Callithrix jacchus: one gene and its partners. The protein of the gene in region 2 binds, or shares a complex with, the protein of the main gene of each other region. Links are inferred from orthologs where the notes say so. Each region holds a gene or a part of one and is shown on either strand. Other genes may lie near its edges. The genes, in order: EIF4EBP1, EIF4E2 and TARS1.

What was found.
Region 1: the proteins of EIF4E2 (region 2) and EIF4EBP1 are in contact, whole or in part, in a crystal structure (PDB 5NVN), measured with the Homo sapiens proteins. The link is inferred for Callithrix jacchus from reciprocal best matches to the Homo sapiens genes EIF4E2 and EIF4EBP1. Residues at the interface, in NP_004837.1 of Homo sapiens: Glu53, His54, Pro55, Leu56, Gln57, Tyr58, Tyr64, Arg66, Lys83, Gln84, Ile85, Gly86, Val91, Glu92, Gln93, Trp95, Arg96, Phe97, Ser99, His100, Met101, Val102, Leu107, Phe113, Glu149, Asn150, Leu153, Gly157, Glu158, Gln159; in NP_004086.1 of Homo sapiens: Arg51, Ile52, Ile53, Tyr54, Asp55, Arg56, Phe58, Leu59, Met60, Cys62, Arg63, Ser65, Val67, Thr68, Lys69, Thr70, Pro71, Pro72, Asp74, Leu75, Pro76, Ile78, Pro79, Gly80, Val81, Thr82, Ser83.
Region 3: the proteins of EIF4E2 (region 2) and TARS1 are in contact, whole or in part, in a crystal structure (PDB 5XLN), measured with the Homo sapiens proteins. The link is inferred for Callithrix jacchus from reciprocal best matches to the Homo sapiens genes EIF4E2 and TARS1. Residues at the interface, in NP_004837.1 of Homo sapiens: His54, Pro55, Leu56, Gln57, Val91, Glu92, Phe94, Trp95, Arg96, Glu149, Asn150, Leu153, Leu156, Gly157, Glu158, Gln159, Met161, Val203; in NP_001245366.1 of Homo sapiens: Pro51, Glu52, Tyr53, Ile54, Tyr55, Thr56, Arg57, Met60, Tyr61, Ile63, Leu64, Glu67.

Annotation. Positions count from the first base shown.
Region 1 is NC_133514.1:38,879,560-38,888,028, reverse strand, and holds the start of EIF4EBP1 (eukaryotic translation initiation factor 4E-binding protein 1), read right to left. Parts: upstream 5,057-8,469; 5' UTR 4,995-5,056; coding exon 4,850-4,994; intron 1-4,849. UniProt on the Homo sapiens protein: Repressor of translation initiation that regulates EIF4E activity by preventing its assembly into the eIF4F complex: hypophosphorylated form competes with EIF4G1/EIF4G3 and strongly binds to EIF4E, leading to repress translation.
Region 2 is NC_133507.1:153,933,126-153,940,807, reverse strand, and holds part of EIF4E2 (eukaryotic translation initiation factor 4E type 2), read right to left. Parts: intron 6,299-7,682; coding exon 6,184-6,298; intron 5,168-6,183; coding exon 5,033-5,167; intron 1-5,032. UniProt on the Homo sapiens protein: Recognizes and binds the 7-methylguanosine-containing mRNA cap during an early step in the initiation. Acts as a repressor of translation initiation.
Region 3 is NC_133503.1:171,861,752-171,869,433, forward strand, and holds part of TARS1 (threonine--tRNA ligase 1, cytoplasmic), read right to left. Parts: intron 7,247-7,682; coding exon 7,123-7,246; intron 5,591-7,122; coding exon 5,469-5,590; intron 4,951-5,468; coding exon 4,833-4,950; intron 4,516-4,832; coding exon 4,451-4,515; intron 4,369-4,450; coding exon 4,290-4,368; intron 3,265-4,289; coding exon 3,118-3,264; intron 1,941-3,117; coding exon 1,842-1,940; intron 857-1,841; coding exon 690-856; intron 1-689. UniProt on the Homo sapiens protein: Catalyzes the attachment of threonine to tRNA(Thr) in a two-step reaction: threonine is first activated by ATP to form Thr-AMP and then transferred to the acceptor end of tRNA(Thr).

The DNA of each region.
Region 1 (8,469 bases), on a different chromosome or scaffold from region 2:
GAGGCTGAGGCAGGAGAATCAACCTGAACCTGGGAGGTGGAGGCTGCAGTGAGCTGAGATCATGCCACTGCACTCTAGCCTGGGCAACAGAGTGAGACTCGGCCTCAAAAATAAACTAAAATAGTAAAATAGTAAGGCTGGGGATGGTGACTCATGCCTGTAATCCCAAAACTTTGGGAGGCCGAGGCGGGTAGATCACCTGAGGTCAGGAGTTGGAGACCAGCCTGACTAACATGGTAAAACCTGTCTCTAATCAAAATACAAAAAGTAGCTGGGCATGGTGTATATGCCTGTAATCCCAGCTAGCCAGGAGGCTGAGGCAGGAGAATCATTTGAACCCAGGAGGCATAGGTTGCAGTGACCAAGATTGTGGCACTGCCCTCCAGCCTGGGCAACAAGAGTAAAACTCCATCTAAAAATAAACAAACATCGAGACCATCCTGGTCAACATGGTGAAACCCCGTCTCTACTAAAAATACAAAAAATTAGCTGGGCATGGTGGTGCACGCCTGTAATCCCAGCTACTTGGGAGGCTGAGGCAGGAGAATTGCCTGAACCCAGGAGGCGGAGGTTGCGGTGAGCTGAGATAGCGCCATTGCACTCCAGCCTGGGTAACAAGAGCAAAATTCTGCCTCAAAAAAAAAAAAAACAAGGAGTCTGAGCACTGGAGGGAGTTTGGGATGCTCTACACCAGGAACCCCCCACCAAATGTTTAATTAGGGACACAGTGTGGAATGCTTCCAACACTTAAAAAAATTTTATTTATTTAATTTACACAGACAGAGTCTCACTATGTTACTCAGGCTGGTCTCAAACTCCTGGCCTCAAGTAATGTTCCTGCTTCAGCCTTCCTAGTAGCTGGGATTACAGGAGCGAGCCACTGCACCCAGCTCCCTCAAACACTTTAAAAGGAAGCTCAGGTCAATGTGAGAAGAGGGCCCATTGTTTCTCCCTCACTGCATTTAATGTCCAGACTCTTTTAACCGATCCTTAATAATAACTTCTTCCCTCTTTTAACCGATCCTTAATAATAACTTCCTCTATGTGACTACGGCCTCAGGACATGGGCTGTGCTGTGGCTTTGGGGCCCAGTCTACGTCCCCCTCTTCCCAGCACTGTTTCATGTCCAAAGACCTGGGAGCTGTTCCAAGGTAAGCTTCCTGGGCACAGACCTTGTTTGCTTAACCAAACAGGGTGCCATTAACACCTGCAGCCCTACCTGCTCACCTCTGATTCACCTTATCCAGGCATAGGTCTTAGGCAGGACTGCCATCCAACCCTGTTTGTAGGCTTCGGAGGCAAAGAGGTAACGTGGAGCTGGGAATGGGGAGACTGATGAGGGAAGGTTTCTTTCTGACCCACTCAAAGGTTCTACTGGCTAATGGGCAGTTTACGGTATTGCTGGATATTTCCAAGACTCCACAGACTCAAATATTCATACATGACACTCCCTTTGGCAAAATTCTCTTAAGTACTCCAGACAGCTAACCTCAGAGCAGGGCCTCAGTGTGCAAATGGTTAATGACCATGAAAAGCAAACTGGAGGCCAGGAGAAGTGACTCATCCCTGTAATTCCAGCAGTTTGGGAGGCCGAGGTGGGAGGACTGGTTGAGCCCAGGAGTTTGAAACCAGCCTGAGCAACACAGAGAGATCCCCCCTCTACAAAAAAATTTAAAATTTAGCAGGGCATGGTGGCACGTGCCAATAGTCCCAGCTACTTACAAGGCTGAGGCAGGAGGATCACTTGAGCCCAGGAGTTTGAGACTGTAGTGAGCTAGGATCATGCCACTGTACTCTAGCCTGGGTGACAGGGTAAGACCTTATCTCAGGTTAAAAAAAAAAAACAAAACAGAAAGCAAACTGGAGTTATAGAAATGGGGATAGTTCAACCCAACGCCTGCTTCTTTCCACCCACGGACAATCACTTGAGGGCTATTCCCAGCAGGAGTGATTGGTGGGCATTTACTCCATTCCTGAGAAGCTGACAGTCCCTCTAAGTAAGCAGGTGCAGACACTCTATCAAAAGCCCAGCTTTCCACACCATGATTTAGAGATGGATGCTGAACCCAACTTCAAAATTTATCTCAAATGGAACCATCTTTTTTCCCCCCAGACTCCAGAGATCTGAAAGGTAAGGGAAGTGATGTTCCACTAATTCCTGAGTACTCAGAGTGTGGTATGTGCACTACTCACTGAGAGCTAGTTAGAAATGCTGACTCTAGGCTGGGCATGGTGACTCACGCCTGTAATCCCAGCACTTTGGGAGGCAGAGGCGGGCAGATCACTTGAGGTCAGAAGTTGAAGACCAGCCTGCCCAACATGGTGTAACATCCGTCTCTACCAAAAAATACAAAAATTAGCCAGCATGGGTGGCATGTGCCTGTTGTCCCAGGTATCAGGGAGGTGAGGTGGGAGGATCGCTTAAACCCAGGAGGTGGAGGTTGCTGTGAGCCAAGATCGCACCACAGCATTCCAGCCTGGGCGACAGAGGAGACCCTGTCTCAAAAAAAAAAAAAAAAAAGAAAGGAAGGAAGGAAGAAAGAAAAGAAAGAAAGAAAGAAAAGAAATGCTGAATCTAGTCCCCACCCCCACCTACAGAATCAGAATATACCTTAAATGAAGACCCCAGTTATCCTTATGCACCTGGAAGAGTGAGAGGCAGTATTCTGGTCTGGAGCCAAAGGGTCCCAGGATGTGACCATTTCAGCTTCTCTGCCCTGGCAGAAGTGGGCTAAGGTGGGCTTTGGAGGAAGAGTCCACACCTTGGCTAATCGAGGCTGACCAGGCTTGCTTGACTTTAGTAGAAGTAAGCCGGATTTCCCTGGCTTAGGGACTGGGAGCTGTACCTGCTCCACAGGCCGCCCCAAAGAGTGAGCTGGCTTTAGGTTCCTGGCACTGCTAGCTTCTTCCAGTAATCTCAGAAACATATGCCATGTCCCAATGCAGAAGCCCCTTCTCCCTTCCTGCTACTGCTAAAGACCTTCAAAGTGAGTGGGATTTGCTGTCAGCCCCCTGACTACTCTCCACTTCCCAATCCAAAGTGAAAAGTGGATTCAAAGTTCCTATATTTTACATTTATTATTTATTTTAGAGATAAGGTCTGCAGTGGTCAATCATAGCTCACCACAGCCTCCAATTCCTGGCCTCAAGCGATCCTCTGGCCTCAGCCTCTGGAGTAGCTAGGACAACATTCTTTTTGTTGTTGTTTGTTTTTTTTTTGTAGAGATGGCATCTCACTATGTTGCCCAGGCTGGTCTTGAACTCCTGGCCTAAAGCAATTCTCCTGCCTTGGCTCCTCCCCAAAATGCTGGGATTACAGGCATGAATCTTGGTACCTCGGCCAGAAGTGCCTATAAACAGTATCCCTGGCTTCTAATTTGACCCAACAATCCAGCAACAAAGGGTGCAAAAAGAGGCTCCCTGTTCCTTCAGGCCAGCCTCAGGGCCCACCCTGAACGAATCCAGCAGACACTTACCCCCTCAGTTGAAAGAACTCCAAAAGTGTCAGGAATTGGCCTGGTAGACCATTGTGACAGAGACAAAGGAGAACAGCATGGACTACAAGTGAAAGAGGATGAGTCGGGAGTGGCAACAAGAGCGCCTGCAAGCTTCTCCTCGGATCATTTCTAACAGAAGAGGAAGCATTCCTCCTTTCTCTGCCTGGTTGCTATTTCTTGCCCAATCTGGGAAAACGGTGTGACAATGGACACGTGTTCCAGCTCTGAGGCCTCAGTGCCTGGCTCTGTAGAACAGGCGGCAGAGTTGGACAAGATCCCTAACCGTTCTAACAGTGTATGTTTTGGATCGAACGGCAGAGGACCTCGGATCCGGCTGTGCTTGCTGCCGGTGGGGCAGAATCTGCCTGAGAAAATAAGCATTTGGCCCCCACCGCCACCGAGCCAAGCGCCGGGATCTGTCGCGTTTTCCAGTAGTTTGGAAAGCAGCGTGGAGGAGGATGGAGGCAGAGGAGCAAAAGGAGTGGGGGCAGTGCAAGGATGGGACCGAAGTGGTGAGCCACGAGGATTTATTTCATCATGCAAACAGGAGCGTAGGTTTCATCAGCGCCTGTGCGCTGCGGCTCCGGGGCTGGGAGGGAATGCCAGGTTCCTGAGGGCAGCCCGAGGCTGTCCACCCCACCCGTGCCAGCTCAGCTTCCTCTTCCTCATCCTCTCCCAGGGAGGTCACACGGTGCCTCCTCCTCCCCCCGGACAGAAGAACGTGCTTTTCTGCACAGCCCGGCCCGTGGCGACAGGCCCCTCCGCGGAGATCTCACTTGCATAAATGGGGAACGTGCCACAGGTGCCCGGGAGGTGCTGCTGGAGCAGGGGAGCACCCGCAGACCCAAACCTCCGTCAGAGCGCGAGTGTCCAACGCAAAACTAGGGGTGCCTCGGGAAAAAATCAGGGCCCTGTAGAAATCATTTATCCCAACAGATAAATAATAAATTTATCCCAACTCATCCCATAAAAACACCAGGCCGAGCCTTTCTTGGATCGTGGGCCACACTGACCCCGCCCTATCCCGCCTGGGGAGCGCCCCCAACATCCACAAGGGGCAGCACAGCTCGGCACGTGGCAGTCCTGGAGGCGTGCTTGTTAGTTAGGTGTCAGCTGTCTGACACCTAACAGAAAGAGGAAACGAACGGGGCAGTTTGCAGCTCCGGTCTGGACGACGCACTCGGAGGACAGCCGGGCGGTCACTTCCATGACCCTCGCTGTCTCCCCGACGCCCCTTCTCCGTTCTTCCCAGCCACAGCACCCTTTAGCCTGGACGCCCGGTCCGATCCGCGATTCCCAATCCTCCCGCCCTCCCGGGAGCCGGCACGCGGCGTCCCCGAGCCAGCGCCTACCTCCCGGGGTGGTGCTGAAGAGCGTGCCTCCGGGGGTCGTACTGTAGTCCCCGGGCGGGAGCTGCACGCCGTCGCCGAGCACCACCCGGCGAGTGGCGGGGATGGCTCGGCTTGGGGTCTGGCTGCAGCTGCTGCCCCCGGACATGGTCTCCTGTGCGCTGCAACCGCGAACCTCTCCCTGCCCTCCCGCGCCTGCAGCCTCGCTCCGCCTCGCCCCGGCCCGCCCCGCCCCAGGACGCCCCTTCCGCCTCTCCAGGCCCACGCCCCTGGGATTTGTAGTCCGCGCCGCAGCCCCACCCAGCTCCAGGCCGCTGCTTGCACGTGGATTCTCCTGCCGCCCCCCGATCCACGCCCGCCTGCTCACGGGCTCCTCCATACCGCCCCCCAGCGACTGCTCCTCCGCTCTCGGGTCCCTCGGCGCCACTCTGGCAGGGACCCGGGTTGGGTGGCGGGCGGAATAGCTCGCCTATGTTAATCCTTGTCTGGGTTGGGGGCGGTGACTCAGGACCGCGCGGAGATCCGAGCTGACCCGGCCCACTGCAGGAAGGCCCGGTTTCTGCATTAAGACTTCAGGCCGGGTGTACCCTTTGGCACTCCCTGTTCGTTGCCTCAGTTCCTCAGATGAGAAAGTGGGATTGACTGGTCATGCTCACCCCACCTCAATTTCTTGACCTTGATGGGGATGGGTGTGGAGGGACTAACAATTCCGCTCCTGGCCTTTAGAGAGGAAGAGAAGGGGTGGGAGGAGTGAACCAACCAGCAGCGTCCTGGGAGCTAAATTTAGAGTTGGGGGCGGCCGGGAGGGGGGACGCGTAGGGGAGGAGTAATAGTTTGTCCAAAAGGTTTCCCGATAGCCCCTGAATTGGGTCCAATACCCACGCCACTGCCTGAGGTTTAGTAGGTACTTCTTGGTTGAATTGACGGATGTTTAGTAGGTACTCTTTGCTGGATGAATGGATGCATGCATGGATGATGTTCAAGGGGAGAGAGAAAAATGCAAGAAGGACCGAGGATGGAAAAACTTGTTGGGTTTGAGAAGTTCCTATCATTGTGTGCACATGTTGTGGGGAAGAGGGTGAAGAAGAGAGGACGGTTCGAAAGGGAAATTGGGTGATGCACCTGTAATCCCAGCTGCTTAGGAAGCTGAGGCTGGAGGATTGCTTGAGCCCAGAAGTTGGAGGCTCCCGTGAGCTGTGATCACACCACTACACTCCTCCTTGGACAGAGACCTTATCTCTAAAAAATACGTAATAATTTTTCAAAAAGGAAATTGGGGTCAGGTCGTTGAGTTTTTCAAATCATGTCAAAGTGCTTGGACGTTGTCTTAGAGAGGCAGGAGACATCAGAACTCTTTTAAGCGGGGGAATGACATGATTAGAGTTGTTTTTTTGGAACGATAACTAGTGGCCATTGGAGTTTTGGGATGGGCCAAGGAGGGCAAGGTCCGAGATGGGGAGAGCTGTTGAGTTTGGTCTCACTTTTTTTTTTTTTTTTTTTTAGACGGAGCCTTGCTCTGTTGCCCAGGCTGGAGCGCAGTGGTACAATCTCGGCTCACTGCAATCTCTGCCTCCTGGGTTCAAGTGATTCTCCTGCCTCAGCCTCCTGAATAGCTGGGACTACCAGTGCCTGCCACCTAATTTTTTTAATTTTTAGTAGCGATGGGGTTTCACTGTTAACCAGGATGGTCTCGATCTTCTGACCTCGTGATCCACATGCCTCAGCCTCCCAAAGTGCTAGGATTATAGGCATGAGCCACCGCGCCTCTGTCACTCTTGAGCTAAACTTTGACCTACAGTGGCTAACACAGTAGCCATTAGCCACAGGTACACACTGAGCACTCCAAAGGTGGCCAGTCCAAACTGCCACAAGTTTAACATACACAATATTTCAAAGATTTAGCGTGAAAAAAAAAATGTAGAATACCTGAATAATTTGTTTCTATATTGATTATATGTTGAACTGATAATATTTTGAGTATACTGGGTTAAGAAAAATACATTATAGGCCAGGCACGGTGGCTCATGCCTGTAATCCCAGCACTTTGGGAAGCCGATGGGGGGTGGATCATGAGGTCAGGAGTTCAAGACTGGTCTGGCTAAGATGGTGAAACCCTGTCTCTATTAAAAATACAAAAATTAGCCAGGTTAAAAAAAAAAGGGCAGGTAACTCGATACAAAAGCCAGCAGGTTAAGATCTGAGAGGAACTTGTCTGTTTACCCTTTGGGGTTCCATAAGGAAAAACAGGGGCTTCTCCTAAAAAGAAGTCTGGCATCTTCTCTGTTTTCTTTAAGGACTCCCAAGCTGTTTGAAATTTATTATTATTATTATTATTTTTTGAGATGGAGTCTGGCTCTGTTGCCCAGGCTGGATTGCAGTGGTGCGATCTCGGCTCACTGCTATCTTTTCCTCCCGTGTTGAAGCGATTCTTCTGCCTCAGCCTCTCAAGTTGCTGGGACTACAGGCACCCGCCAGCACGCCGGCTAATTTTTGTATTTTTGGTAGAGATGGGGTTTCACCATATTGGCCAGAGTGTTCTTGAACTCCTGCCCTTGTGATCGACCCACCTTGGCCTCCCAAAAGGCTAGGATTACAGGTGTAAGCCACTGTACCTGGCTGTTAGAAATATTTAACATCCCTCAGGCAGCAGAGGGTGACAAGAGGAAGGAGAGACGGACAGAAACACATGAAGAAAACAGAATTCAGAGAGAAAAACACCTAAAGACCTTTTAAATATATATCTAGGCCAGGCGCGGTGACTCATGCCTGTAATCCCAGATCTTTAGGAGGCTGAGGCAAGAGGATTGCTTGGGCCCAGAACTTTGAGGCCAGTCTGGGCAACATGGGGAAACCCATCTCCTAACCTCATGATCTGACCACCTTGGCATCCCAAAATGCTGGGATTACAGGTGTGAGCCACCGTGCCCGGCCTGAATTTTCTTAAAAATCTTTAGAACCCTCCTAAAATCATCCACACTTCCCCACTTCCCTTTCCCCTAACAAAAAGGCTGTATAACTGTTGGGTTCACTCAGGGTGGTTGGCAAAATATTAAGGGAAATATTAGGGAAGTTCTAAGATTATAGTCTTGGCTGGGTGCGGTGGCTCACGCCTGTAATCCCAGCACTTTGGGAGGCCTAGACGAGCGGACCACGAGGTCAAGAGATCAAGACCATCCTGGCCAACATGGTGAAACCCCATCTCTACTAAAAATGCAAAAGTTAGCTGGGCATGGTGGTGCACACCTGTAGTCCCAGCTACTCAGGAGGCTGAGGCAGGAGAATCATTTGAACCCAGGAGGCGAATGTTGCAGTGAGCTGAGATCGCACCATTACACTCAAGCCTGGCAACGAAGACTCTGTCTCAAAAAAAAAAAAAGACTATAGTCTCAAACCTTTTGGAAGGCGGAAAGGTTTTCAGTAACTTGTAATAATGGGACAGACTGAAGGCAGCTAGCTGGTCCTTACCTTAGAGCATTAGGTCATAGGGTGAAGATTAGTGATAATAGAAGCTTCCCCAGTTAAGTCGGTTTACCTCACATTCCTTTGTCTCTACTCTAAATAGTTGATTACTCATGTAAACTTTGTCCCACATGGCCCTCTGGGGGCCGGGCGGGGAAGGGGGA
Region 2 (7,682 bases):
TGAGGGAAGACATGTTAGAGGAAAAGCCTACCAACTAGTTTGACAAAAGAAAACATGTAACATTGGCAATACAAGAATAAAATCTTTGGTGAGAAATGCTAGGCTCAGCCAGGACCTTCAGCTGGTGAAACCATGTCAATATGCACTTTCCCACTGAAGCTGCGGGGTAGTCATCACGTGCAGTAAGAAGACAGCTTTTTGCACAATGGAAACTCTTTAGCCTTGAGGTATATTAAGTGCCACACAGCCTCAGCAGGAATGCATTTTTTAGAACCAAATCACTTACTGATCAAAGATTGTTTAACTGGCAACACAGCATTTGCTGAGTGAAATATCTCTTAGAGCTGTTAGTTACTAAGCATAAGTGACAGAATCAAGCACGTATACCACACATACCACTCCACATCACGCTAAGACCGGGCCAATCCAAAATCACACAGGACTTAGCTTCTTATAGCTAGAGTTTAAGGCCTTCTTCTTAGCTAGAAAAAGGTTTCTCCTTGCCTCTCCTTCACAATCCTGTGAGAAAGCTAGATTTATATTTTCCTATCAAGTATATGCTTATTTGTATTCATCACAGTAGTCCCGTTTTGCTTATTAGTGTCATCCCCCCCCACTCTTTTTTTTTTTAAGATACAGGGTCTATACAGCAGTATGATCATAGCTTATTACAGCCTCTAACTCCTGATCTCAAGTGATACTCCTATCTCAGCCTCCCGAGTAGCTGGGACTACAGGCTCATTAGTGTTTTGATAGGAGAAATAACTTCCTTATTCACAGAGGATACCTACTAAGTACTGGCCAGTGAAGAGGTACACTTTAAGAGGAAAGAGAAAACATGGTGCAGTCTGATGAGAAATAGCTAGTATTTGCCAACCTGCTGAGGAGCTCGATATCAACATATAGCAAGATACCATAATTGTGGAGCTGACAATGGGTATTGAGTAGACAAGATTCAGGTCATACTTCTAGATCTGAGGAGCACCCAAGGAGAAATCAACCTTACACTGTGTGAAATGGCTGTCCCTTTAGTTCCTCTCTAGCACAAGAATATGTGACACATCTTACATGTTAAATAGAAGTCAGAAACTATAGGACTTCAAAGCAGTGCTTCATATCTCAGCAACTGCTAAGCTTAACTGCATGTAGTGATTTGGGATAGCAACTGGTCATATGAATACAATCAGCAATAATCTAAACCATTATCCACCCTAACATAGTTGCAGAAAAACCACATCTCTCCACTAGAACCAAGTACACCCACTAGTGGCTCACTGTGAATAAGGAACTGAAAGGGGCGTGGAAAGGAGAAAGTATACCAACCATTTCCAATTCCCCAGTCAACAATCACTTCAACACTTTAGTCTCCTCCAATCTTACAACTATACCACTACCTCCAAGGCTCAAGCAATCCTCTGGCCTCAGCCTCCCGAGTAGCCGAGACAAGTGGACACCACCATGCCCAGCTAATTTTTTACTTTTTTTTGGTAGAGATGAAGTTTAACCTGTTGCCCAGCTGGTCTTGAAGTCCTGGATTCAAGTGATCCTCCCTCTTTGGCCTCCCAAGGTTCTGGGACTATGCCTGGCCTAAGAAGTATTATTAAACTTTAAAAGATTTATTTGGATAGTTCTAACTGAAACCAAAAAATAAGCATTCAGACTCAGAATATGAGGTGTAGAAAGGACCTCAGAAATAATCTCAACAACTTTACTTATTTTATAGTTGAGAAAACAGTTACAAGAGTTGCTGTAACCCAGACAGTCAAGCACCAGAAGAGGTTAGCTCTGATGACCAAGTCCAGTGCTCTTTCCATTTCAAGATGATACCTTCCTAATCATGCTGACTTTAGTAACTTTTAAATGTTGTTAATTATTAGGCTAAGAATCACTGGGAAACGCTGCTTTGAATTCAATAAAAGGATTCATCATGTAATTATTTCTTTGTGATGAATTTAACATCGTGAGCCATTTCCTAATGAGGTCTGAATTACATGACAGACTGTATTTCTATTTTTCAGATCCAGACCTACAGAGTCAAAATGACAGACTTTAAATACTGTCACACATCCAGTGAGCAGTGATGAAGCCTTAACCCAAGACAGTCCTGATGATAAACCACTCCTTAACATATATGTCAAAAGGAAAGAAAAGAAAAACCCTCCTTGTATAAGCCAGGTATTCATATATGCTTTTTCACAAAAGGGAAATAAAATTGCAACCCACCTTTTTTTTTTGAGACAAGATCTCACTACGTTGCCCAGGCTAGTTTTGAACTCCTGACTTCAAGCGATCCTCCTTGGCCTCACAAAGTGCTGGCATTATAGGCATGAGCCACCAGGCCTGACCAAAATCTTTAAAATCAGTAGTAAACCTGTATCTTCCAAGGCAGTATTCCTCAAACTGGAATCAAATCCTTCTTTCCTCCAAACTCCAAGAGCACTCTACATGCTTTCCCATAGCACAACTTATTGTCTACCCTGTATTAGAAATTCTTGGGCACATCTTATTTCCCCAAGGACAGGATCTGTGCCTTTATTCCTTTTAGAAGCCTACTAGGGTCTGGAATTCATTCAACAAGTATTTCTTGAACCAAATATGAACCAGTGCACAAACTAGTTATATTATTTTAACAAAGCTGTTTGATACTAAGATAGCACTGGTGAACTAAACAATATCTTTGCTTTGGGCTGAAATTTTATCTGCTCAGCAGAGTAATGATGTTGATTTCATATTAAGCAGATTATTACTGAGTTGTAAGAGTATTCTAGATACAAATTCCTTATTAGACATGATTTGCAAATATTTTCTCCCATTTTGTAGCTTATCTTTTCACTTTCTTGATAGTGTCCTTTGAAGCAGAAAAGTTTTGAATTTTGATGAAATCCTATAGAGATGGGGTCTTACTATGTTGCCCAGGCTGGTCTCGAACTCCTGAGCTGAAGTGATCCTCCTGCCTCAGCCTTCCAAAGTACTAGGATTACAGGCATAAGCTACCATGCCTAGCCTAATAGTTAATCTTTTGCTCTTGTGCATTTAGTGTGTTATTTAAGAAGGCTTTGCCTAACCTAAGGTCATTAAGATTTACTCATATTTTCTTCTAAGAATTTTATAATTTTAGCTCTTACATTTATATCTATGATCCATTTTTAGTTAATTTTTGTGTAGGGTGTCAGGAAGGAATGCAAAGTCGTTCTTCTGCACCTGGAGATCCAGTTGTCTCAGCACTGTTTGTTGAAAAAGACTATTCTTTCTTGGTACCTTACATTAGTCATTTATTATAAACAAAGGATACAGATGAAGAGATGTGAAGGGCAGGGTATAGGGGAAGGTGTGGAGAAAGGCACAGGGAGCTTCTATGGCCCCTCCAGGTGTGACACCCTCCAGGCACCTCCATGAATTCAGCTATCGAGAAGCTTCTATACTTGAGTTTCAATTATACTGGCTCCCCAACTTAATCCAGTGAATTATGAAAATTAAAAAACTTTTTTTAGGCAGGGTCATCTCTGCTGCCCAGGCTGGAGTGCAGTGGCATGAACATGGCTCACTGCAGTCTTAACCTCCTGGGCTCAAGTGATCCTCCTGCCTCAGCCTCCTGAGTGGTTGGGACCACAGGTCCATGCCAACATGGCCAGCCCTTTTTTTTTCTTTCTAATGTTCCCCATCTCTCCAAGCCAGTTAATTTAAAAGCTTTTTGTAGAGGCAGAATCTCACCATGTTGATGAGGCTGATCTCAAACTCCTGGCTCAAACAATCCTCGCATCTCAGCCTCCCAATATGGTGGGATTACAGGCATGAGCCACCATGCCCTGCCAATTTGAGACTTTAGATCAGATATATAACCCAAGTTTTACTTTCCTCATTTGTAAAATATAGATTAATACCACTGACCTCATAGGCTATCATAATGATTGAAGGAAATTACATAAACTTAATACGTATTATGTGTCCTTCCTCCTTAGCAATTTGTTGTTGTATTTCCTACTGAAGAATTCTTTTCTAGTTTCTGCATTTCAAATAGGACTAATACTTCACTAATGTCAAGAAAATGACAAACCCCACATTTGATTCTGCCTAGAGATCGAATGTACAGCATACAGGGGGTACATAATAACATTTGTTCAACTGGCGTGGGGTTAGTTGGAGATGGATTCTTGGGGTACACAAACCAAGTCACCTGGGAGAGAGATGAGATGGTCTGGGCTCTCTGTACTGACATTATCCGCAAAAGCAATTATTAGAGATTTCATTTTCTTTCTGAACACAAGAAAAACATTTACGCATTATCATTAACACAGCCAAAACCCTAATGGAAGGTTCTTAACTATAAAACTTTCAAAATTTTTCATTTTACTGTCTAACTTCATGAGGATAGACACCATGTACTATAAACTTTGGTATTCATGACACTTTTAACTTGGTAAGGACTCCCTAACTACCTACTTAAAAAAAAACCCTGAAAAACAAAAAGAAACAGTGCCAGGTGCTATGGCTCACTCCTGTATGTGAGCAGTTGAGGAAGCCAAGGTGGGCGGATCACCTAAAGTCAGGAGTTTGAGACCAGCCTGGCCAACATGGCAAAATCCCATTTCTACTAAAAATACAAAAATTAGCTGGGCATGGTGATGCACGCCTGTAATCTCAGCTACTCAGGAGACTGAGGCAGGAGAACTGTTGGAACTTGGGAAGTGGAAATTGCAGTGAGCCAAGATCACACCACTGTATTCCAGCCTGGGTGACAGAGCGAGACTCTGTCTCAGTTAAAAAAATAAAAATAAAAAAACCCAAACCCGTACTTTTGTATTATGCCCTTCTGATCAACTCGACAATTCTCATATTTGTTGATAACTACATGTTAACCATGGATATCTAGTGAGAAACCTAAGATTGAACAAATCTGACCTCGGAGCCTCAGGTCAGTAAATTAAGGAAACCAGAATCCTAAATAGGTTACTAGAAAGGTAAATAAACATCATATCAATACAGGCATGAATGAAATGTCAAGGCGCACGTTATTAAACCACCAAGAACTCACAGAAGCAAAGGTGCCAATCTGTTTGATATTCTGTTCATAGCTCTGTGAGCTGGTGGGACGGCCGGGGGTTCTCCTGGAGTACCAGAAAGTGTAGTTGTACTGCAGGGGGTGCTCTGCCGGTCCAGGGACAACAGCCTGGGAGGGAAGTAAAGAAGGCGTGTGAGTCCTGGCATTTGCCACATTGTCTGAGACTGACAGAACAATTTACAGTGTCAATCCTTACCACTCCCACAATTAAAAGAGTAAATACAACCTTAACTACCTGCAATGTGCCCACGATTCTGCTCACACAGTACATTTCCTCAGTGGTTAACTGATTCTAAATTCCTGTAACACTTGTGTTCTTATGGCCTTTGTAATTTTCTCCCTCATATAATACTAGGTATTCATGTTTGTATCTTATCTGAGCATATGCCTAGTTCAAGCACTGCCTCCTCTATAAGATTCATCACAGGCAAGTTACTTAACCTGTTTGTGTCTAATCTTCAAACCTGCAAATGAGGAAAATAATAACAAGAGGATCAAATGAATTAACAAATACATGATGCTGAGCACAGTGCCTGGCGCACAGTAAGTGCACAACAGATGTCAGCATTGTTATTATTGGTACTATTAAATGTAAGTCCCTGCCACAGTCTCATTCACCTTTGTGTCCTCTTAGCATCTAGCATAAAATGGCTTGCCCTTGGAGGGTTACTCAATATTGTAGAATAAATGAATTAGCGATTGCTTTGATATTTCAAGGAAAAAAATTGATCTCTCTCTCTCTCATTCACCAAGTTTTCCCTTTTCCAAATTGCTTTCACCTTAGACTAATGCTGACTAAAATTTCAAGGAGTGTGTAGGATTTGGAACCCTCAGCAGTGGCTTATGAAGCAGCTAACAACCTTGTGAAGCTCTAGGGCTAATTTCCCCTATGTCAGGCTAGGAGAATGCTGCAAGCAAGGCACCATCTCAAGATCCTGTGGTGAGAGAAAAGCTCTAGGTCTCAAAATGAACATCCATGATTGCACAGTGTTTTTCTGAGAACAAAGATATTCCAACACAGGATGCTAGTCAGGTTAATCTGGTATCTTCCAGATAAACAGATTCCATAAGATAATCAAATCTCAAGTTCAAAGGCAACTACATCTGTGCAGTGCAAAACTCACCTTTCTCTTGCTGCTGCTCTGACTCTTATCTCGCTCTGTTTTTTCCTTCTCACCATCTTTCGGTGTGCTGTTTTCTTCATTCTGGTCATGGTCCCCACTGTCATCATCTTTCAAACTGAATACAAAGGCAAAACAATACAATTCTGTGACCAAGTCAATTCTTACTTACCGAACAAAGCCACCAGGTCATATGAACTACTATGTAAACAACCCAAAGTCACTCAAATGCAGGCTCTGAGATGTGAGAAGGGCAAGAGAATACAGACAGGCAAGTTAGGAGGATTAAACAAAAATGAAATGCCCATCAGCTAACCTGTGAGCTCCAGAAAGCACTGCCTTTCAGTCTTCTAAAAAGCCACACGAAGAACCAGTTATTGACTGCTGGAGGTAGACAGTTTAAGGGATTGTTTTCCCTGCCAAAAATGGAGTAAAAAATGAGAAGAGTCTCTAGAAGACTAACTGCTTTGGCATTTCAAATGAAGGTTACAAACCTACTATCCACTTTGCCGCTTCTACACTTTTCCACCGTTACTACTTTAGGCTCTTCTCCTGACACCTCGATCATATAATAAATTCCTCAGTGGTCTTCCAGACATAAATCTCGTACTCTCTGTGCATCCTTTCACCAGCATTATCTTTTTTAATATACATTTTTTTAAGAGATGGGGTCTCGCTATGTTGCCCAGGCTGGAGTGCAGTGGCTATTCATAGGCGCGATCTTACTACTGATCAGCACAGGCATTTCGACCTGCTCCATTTACAATCTGGGCCGGTCCCCCGCTCCCGGGAGGTCACCACATTGATGCCGAACTTAGTGCAGACACCCAGTTGGCATAGTGCACTACAGGCCAGAACTTCTGGGCTCAAGCGATCCTCCCACCTCAACCTCCCAAGTAGCTGGGACTACAGGCAAGCACCACTGTGCCTGGCCAGTATTATCTTTTTAAGTGCAAATCTGACATTTAACTTCCATGCTTTAAACTTGTAATTGTCTCTTACCTTTTGATGCCTACCCTCTAAGATAAAGTTCAGCAAAATGTAAGACCCTCTAGAATCTGACTCCCGCCAGCCAGGATCCTCCTTCCTGCCTCCTCTAGCAATCTATATTCCCATATTGGTGCCATTTGCAAACACTACCCCTTCAGTCTACCATGCCATTCCTATGTCCGTTTTTCCTACTAGACAGAGGTCCTTTAGAGCAGTGTCTTATTTCATCTCGGCATCTCCAGCACCCAGGGCAAGATGCTGCCTTAACATGCAGCACTAGAAGATGCTGAATAAATGCTAAATCAAAAGGAAAAATAAATGACTGAAAAAGGAGTGAATATGTTCTTACTTCATAAGCAGTCAAACGTACTTTAGGGATTACCCTTTTATGAGCAGCGAAACTACTCAAAGGCTTTCAGGTACACCTAAAAAAATCACTGGATCCAGACAAAAAGATAAATGGAAAGATAATAAGAAAGCCATTTATTCTAGGGCTGGACGATTAACTCATC
Region 3 (7,682 bases), on a different chromosome or scaffold from region 2:
TGGGCATGGTGGCGCGTGCCTGTAATCCCAACTACTCAGGAGGCTAAGGCAGGAGAATTGCCTGAACCCAGGAGACGGAGGTTGCGGTGAGCCGAAATCGCGCCATTGCACTCCTGCCTGGGTAACAAGAGCGAAACTTTGTCTCAAAAACAACAACAACAACAAAAAAAACACATTAGATCATTTGTTACACCCCCATATTCCATCTTTATGTTCTGCCTTGCTCACTGCTATACTCCTAGTATCATTACTGAATGCCCATAGATCTAGAGCTCTAGCTGGGCATGGTGGCTCATGCCTGTAATCCCAGCGCTTTGGGAAGCCAAGATGGGAGGAGAGCTTGAGGACAGGGGTTTGAGACCAGGCTGAGCAATGTGGCAAGACCTTCTCTCTACAGAAATCAAAATTAAAAAGTTAGCTGGGCATGTTGGCATGTGCCTGCAGTCCCAGCTGCAGTGAGCTATGATTGCACACCAGCACTCCCGTCGGGAGACCTGTCTCTTAAAAAAAAAAAAAGATCTGGGGATCTAATCAGGCATAGAAGATATAATACAACAATGATGTTGCATTTAAATGCTCTTCTGACACATAATTTATTTTTAACGAAAATGTTGTTAAAGGAGAGACAGAACCCAGGATGAATTGTAGCCTGTGAAAATCTTTAACAGGAATTCAAAGCTGCCAAATACCAGTGTCCTGGGCAGTTCATCGGTTTCAGAGCAAACTGCTCTTTCTCCACCTCAAAGGAGAACATGTTCTCACTGTAGTGCTGCCAGTGGCCTGAGGTCATCCAGAGTCGGCTGTTGTAGATGTTTGGGGTTACTACCTCCTGGAATCCTCTCTTCCTATATTCGCTCTGATAGAAAATAAACAGAACACATGTGTAGGCAGATAAAGGCTTACACTTCAAGTAGGAATAAAAACTGAAAGAGCAATTTTATACTCTCATGAAAAATGTGCACACATGCCATGATTCAGAAATCCCACTTCTAAGTACATACCAAAGACAAAACTCTCAGCACATGCAGATAAGAAGGGTTATGAAAGCGATGCTACCACAGCATGGCTGATAGTAAGGGACAATTCTACATCAGCGTCCATCAATACAGGGATGAGTGCACTGTGGTAGTTATATAGCAAAATAATATGCAACAAGCAAAAATACACTGGATTTGTATGTCTAAAGTAAATCACAGTGCAGTCTGATACACAGTGAGGCTTCCTGTATGCAACACATAAATACATAAATAAATGTGTACAAATACATAGGCTAGATGTAAATAACATGAACAAAAAGAATCCATGCCAACTTCAAAACTGGTATAAGAGATGCCAACATAAGCATATATATAATATACCAGTATATGGAGATATATACATCAGAAGAGGGTCCTAAAGATAGGCTTTTAAGCAACTTTTTTAAATATCGTGAACAAAAAATCTCAAGCAAATATAGCTCAATATAAGTATTTGTTAAGTTTGGGTATTAAGTACACAAGATAGTGGTTATACTGTTCTCTGTAAACTTGTATTTCAAACATTTCATAATTTACAAAGAAAAAAGCAACATAAAAACTGTTTTTTCAAAAAAATACAAATGAATGATCAAAGTCAAAGAGGACTCCTACATCAAGGACCAAAGGTCCCCCTTCATGCTCACCAGCTTCTTTGTATAAGGGCGAATCACCTACTAGGAATGATTTATAAGACCACAGACTTCTGCTTTTACTTATTATTTTATATATTTCTTCTCAAATACAGATTATCCTTCCTTTTAGTAGACCTTATTTAATAAAAATGATCATATATCCTAAATCTGAAAAACAGTAAATATGACTTACCCTAATGAAATCAATAAGGGCATTATAAATGTAGGCTCCCTTTGGCAGAAAAAAGCAACTTCCAGGGCTGAGTTCATGAAAGAAATATAGTTCTTGGTCCTGGGTAAAAGAAAAGCAAAAAAATGTTTATGTATGTCATGTATATGTGTGTGTGTGTGTATATATATATATATACATAAATTTCAGTATTCTTGAACTCAGAATATGGTCATGATGTGCCATATTTCAATCAGTGCCAACTCTGAATCAGAGAAACCACATCAGTGTTTCTGGTGGTTCAGAATTGCAGCTGATTTACAATTTGGCAGATGTGTAACACATGCCCTTCCTGTCACATTCCTCAATCCAATCAAGTTTCCCCAACGTAACAGGGAGTAAGGATCCCTCAGTTCTCTTACTATCCACTGCAGTCCCTCTTATGGTTCTTAATTCCTTAAAGCTCCAAGGTCTAGATGTTTTTTCATTTTCATTCTTTTTTATTTTCTTAATAGGTGGGTGAGGAAGGAGACTAGGAAAAATACCGATAATGAAATAGATGATGGTAAAGTTGGCTGACATTGGGTCATGGTTAAAGAAATACACCTCCTACCTTCTTGCCCAGCATCTCCCCCACACCAGCCAAATGCCCAAAAGCCCCCAGGGAAGGGCCCACCAATCACTGCTGGCTGCCTCATAGCTGGAATATCAGGTAGTCAGGGGTACAAGGGAATGGCTGATATCTCCAGCTCAAGCTTAATAACTTAACAGCTAGAGACTCCAGGCACAGAGTGACTATTTTAGGGAGAAATGTTTTATTGAGCCCAACTTCTAGTTCAGAAGACATTCAGGAGTAACAGAGATAATGGGTAGAGGAAATGACAGCACAGAATCCATGTGTGACATGCTATGTACCTTGGGCAACAAGTAGGTTATCCTTTGTGGGACACTGTTTCCACATTTTAAATGAGTCAGGAAGACTAAATTGTTTCCGAAGTCTAGTTTCCCCAGCTCTACGAGAAGCTGTATGCTTCTTTTATGGAAAACTATAGATCAAATCAGCATTTGTTCTCAATAAAAGTAGTTCAAATGAATTTCTGAATGGTACTGAACACACTCCAGGCAGATAATGTGGACAATGAGTAAGTATTTACAGCTTGTACAGGACATAGCACCAGTTACTAAAACGCTACATTATCTCTTCAAAACAAAATTCCTAGCACTTCATACAGCTAAATTTCAAACTTCAAATGAAACTGAAGATAACTCAGTCTAGACACATCATTGTTGTTGAACATACCCTGCCAATTTTCCTATGATCCCGGTTTTTAGCTTCCTCTTGGAACTTCTCCCACTCTTTCAACATTTTAGGATCTGGGAATGAAATGCCATAAATCCTCTGGAGAGTCTCCATATCTGCTTTGCCTTCCCAGTACGTGGAGGAATTCTGAAAACAAGGATTAACGATGAAACAACATTCAAATTTGTAAACATCTCATTTATTTTAACTCCCAATTGCTCTGAGGCCTTGTTAGAGTAGTTACTCATTCTGCAGCACAAAGTTGGCTGTTTTCTTCCCTTGAAAATGCCCCTCCCTCAATCCGCAGGTGGGTACAGTGGCTCACGCCTGTAATCCCAATACTTTGTGAAGCTGAGGCGGGAGGATCGCTTGAGCCCAGGACTTCGAGACCAGCCTGGGCAACACAGGGATACCCTGTTCTTTACAAAAAAAGGAAAATTAGCCAGGCATGGTGGTGTGTGCCTATGGTTCCTGCTACTCAGGAGGCTGAGGCGGGAGGACCACTTGAGCCTGGAGTACGGATCTCTGCTCACTGCAACCTCCATTTCCCAGGCGCAAGTGGTCCTCTATTCTGTCTTTTTGGGGCAAGAGAACGAGACCCAGTTTGAGGCAACACCCCTAAACTGCCCACCCCTCAATACTCAATCAACCACAATTCCACAAACATTACTTTGCCTGCAGAGGCATTTCTCCCAAAATGATAGAGCAGAAATAGTAATGAACCAATTAAAAAAAAATCTTGAAATGACTCAATTATTCTCTTGATTTAAAGTGCATTTTAATAACCTTCATAAAATGTTTATGAACTAGTATAAAACTGACTGGGTTTTATCAAAAAAATAACTTGGGAAATGATTAATTTAGACATATAAAGGGCAAAAGCACATACTTCTACAGTGAGTCTCAGAACTTTCAGAGCCAGGATGGCCCATGCTGTATGATTCTGTAAAACCTCCATCCCCTGTGCTTGCTCTGGCCAGTCAGTCACTCCTTGAGGGAATTTCAACTATAAAAACCTGATGGCATACAGCTCCCAGCTAATAGATAGCATGAGAAAATATATCATCCTTTCATGTGCAACAGAAAATGATAAAGAGAAATCAGTGAAAGTTTAAACACGTATCTATTCTAGACAGATACATTCACATAATCTTTAAAGTTACATTGCTTACTTTGTGTATTTTTAAAGCCTTAATTTTGCCTGTGTGTCTGACATGAGGACCCCGGCAGAGATCTATCAAAGGGCCACACCTAAAGATAAAATGAAAGGAATTTTAACAAAGACAAACTGACATACACACCAGATACATCTAATGATATGTAATATTCTCACCGATAGACTGTGGTAGTTGGAGTATTCACCTTTTCATTCAATATCCGACATTTGAACTTGTTGTACTGAAAATAGGAAAAAATATTTCTTTAAAAAACTGTCCTTTAATTTTTACCTCTAAGTACTATAGCTAAAACGTAACTCAAAGTATATCGCAACAAAGCACTGTATGAATATAAATGTTGACAGTGAATGCTTTAAAAACACGTTGGAATGGTTTGCTAGGAAAAAAATGAAATTAAAAATAAATAAATAAAAACACTTACATTTTTCTAAAGAACCAAATAGGCTTCATCTTATTACACTGAACCCCAGTGGTGTCACTTCAACTACCATAGATAAACGGTGTAACAGTGGAGGCACACACTGTGATTCAATTTACCTTAAACATTGCCAGTAAAGTTTCTTTCTTAACTTCCAGTCTTTCAAAAGCTTGCTTTTCTTTAATGATTTTCTTACATAAAGCCTCCAGAGAAGAGAAATCATTGCTAGACACGCCCCTGAAGAAGAACAAAGTATAATCTTTTTATTCCATTCGATCACACCGTGGCTTAGAGAAATGTGTATTTGGAAAAAGTATTTTGAATACTTGAAGGCTTTTAATACTAAAAAATTAGACTAAATTCTAAAAAAAAAAAAAACCAAAACATTTTTCCTAAGTAATTTTTACATTTTATATTTTCAGTGGCTTCTACCTTGATTATCCACAGAGACTTTTCTCACTAGTGACCCCCTTCCTGCAACTGTATCACCAGGTTTTAAAAGAGAGGGGAGGATCAGTCTCCTTGAATTTCCCAAAATACCTTAGGACTCTACCTCCATCAATCTAGAACAGAGATCTCATGAAATCCTCTATAACTTCAAGAAAATTGCAACACTTCAAGTACTGATAATGGGGATACCTGATGACTAAGAAGCAGTGAGCTCTGTATCATTCCTCGTTTACTGAGAATGCTAAAAATAATCTGGGGACCCACCGTCATTTACTTCATTTGTCTTTATCTAGTTGATAGCTTACCCTTCTTCAAGGTACATGTCATAATAGAATCCATTTTCTATTGGTGGACCATAACATAAACATCCACCATAGACTCTTTCCATGGCTTCACCCATTATGTGAGCGCTAGAGTGCCAATACACCTGAAAATTTAAAGAAAAGTGGCATGTTCTGAGTATTGGCATACAAGCTGTGAATTAATGTGGAAGGAGACAAAAAATATTTATTACAAGTAAACCCAATATATAAAAATCTGAATTTCTAAATCTACAAACTACTATGTGTTTCTATCCATAGCCAAACTTATTCAAAAGGCTTCCAATTACTGAAGTGTATTTTTATTTTGGAAATCATCTGGTTTAGCTGTTTTCAAACAAATTAAACTAAACTTGGCATCATTAATTAAATGGCATTGACTTTGTTCTCTGAAAACAATCACTACTCAAAATGTGACTGTCTCATTGACTGCAATGCCCCAGGTTCTTTTGAGTCAATGTGCTCACAGCACCATGTCTCAGACACTGTGATCTGGCCTTCAGCTGGCTATGGAACATCACTTAGAAATTATATGTTGTTACTGGCCCAAAACAAAGGTGGTACAACCTGACCCCACAACACAATGACAAAACACAAGGACACATATCTGCACGCTGAAATCAAATGGCAGTACTTGGTTTTACAGTAATCACTGGGATGAGTCAGAATACACCCAAAGCAACATTTTCAAGATTTATTATTAAGGTACTAAAGTGACATTAAAAAATTCTCATAAGAAACTTGTGGGCTCCAAAATATATTTGAAAACCACTGATCCACATACATAAGTGAGCAATCAGAACTAAAACAAAATATTTTGTCTCTCCTTATATGATACATAGCCACGGAGAAATAAAATCTTGTCATTAAATGTAGGTTGATTTTTATAGTGCTACCTAGCAGATTTGCATCTTAAGATGAGAAAAAAAATACAGAAATTGTTTAATAAGTGGAGTACCTTGAAATAAGGTTCAAATTTCTTTGTCAAATGTATGTATCTAGCTAAAGTGTTCATAGTTTAGAGGCCAGGCAGAGTGGCTCACACCTATAATCCCAGCACTTTGGGAAGCCAAGATGGGCAGATCACTTGAGGCCAGGAATTCAAGACCAGCCTGGCCAACATGGTGAAACACTGTCTCTACTAAAAATACAAAAATCAGCTGAGCATGGTAGTGTGCTCCTATAATCCCAGTTACTCAGGAGGCTGAGGCTGAAGAATTACTTGAACCCGGGAGGTGGAGGCTGCAGTGAGCCAAGATAATGCCACTGCACTCCAGTCTGGGTGACACAGCGAGATTCCATCTTAACATAAAACAAAATACAATAAAACATAAAATAAAGTGTTCATAATTTAGAAAGTAATTTTTACTTCCTTAATCAATGTTTAATAAAATTCCCAAAACATTTTCCCCACTTAAGTGTCTTAGTAGTGAAAAGACTTATTCAGATTTACCTCTTAATTTTCTAAGGCAAGCACTTTTATTATGTTCCCTAAATGAAGGACAAAATGAAGATTTCAAATATGACAATGAGACAACAATAAATGTTAGCTACCCAATTGCAGCAGTACTGAGCTGGAAAAGACTGCAAATGTGAATCTGTGCCCTAAAATTCAGTGAATACTAAATCAGCAACTTACTGCCTGAGCTTCCTCGTCCTCAAACTTGAGAAGTGCCAGGGTACAATCTTCTTCCAGAGGGCGGTCCAGGTCCCACACGACATTATTTACTTTAGCAATAACGGTGTTGTCAGCCAGGCCTTGACTTAAAAAAAAATGTCCACACATATATAAACACACAATAATCTAAAAAAAGCTCTTGTAGCACAACACTTAATTTTAAAACAAGAAAATAAACACTATTTTTATTATATATTGATTTTTTTTATATTGCTGTATCTCTATTTTTCTGAAATAAAATGAAAAAACAACAAACTCCAAAACTGTACCTAAGAATATAACTGGAAGATCCTAAAAATACAGAACACTATCATTTGACATTTAGTGCCTCTTTTTAAGCAGATATGGCAACTCTGATAAATAAGCATGATAAATTTCCAATGGTCTGATTATTCTTAATTACTCCAAATACATGTTTTTGTTTGTTTTTTTAACGTTTTAGAGACAGAGTCTTGCTATGTTGCCCAGGCTGGCCTCCTGGCCTCAAGCAATTCTCCAACATCAGCCTCCCGAGTAGCTGA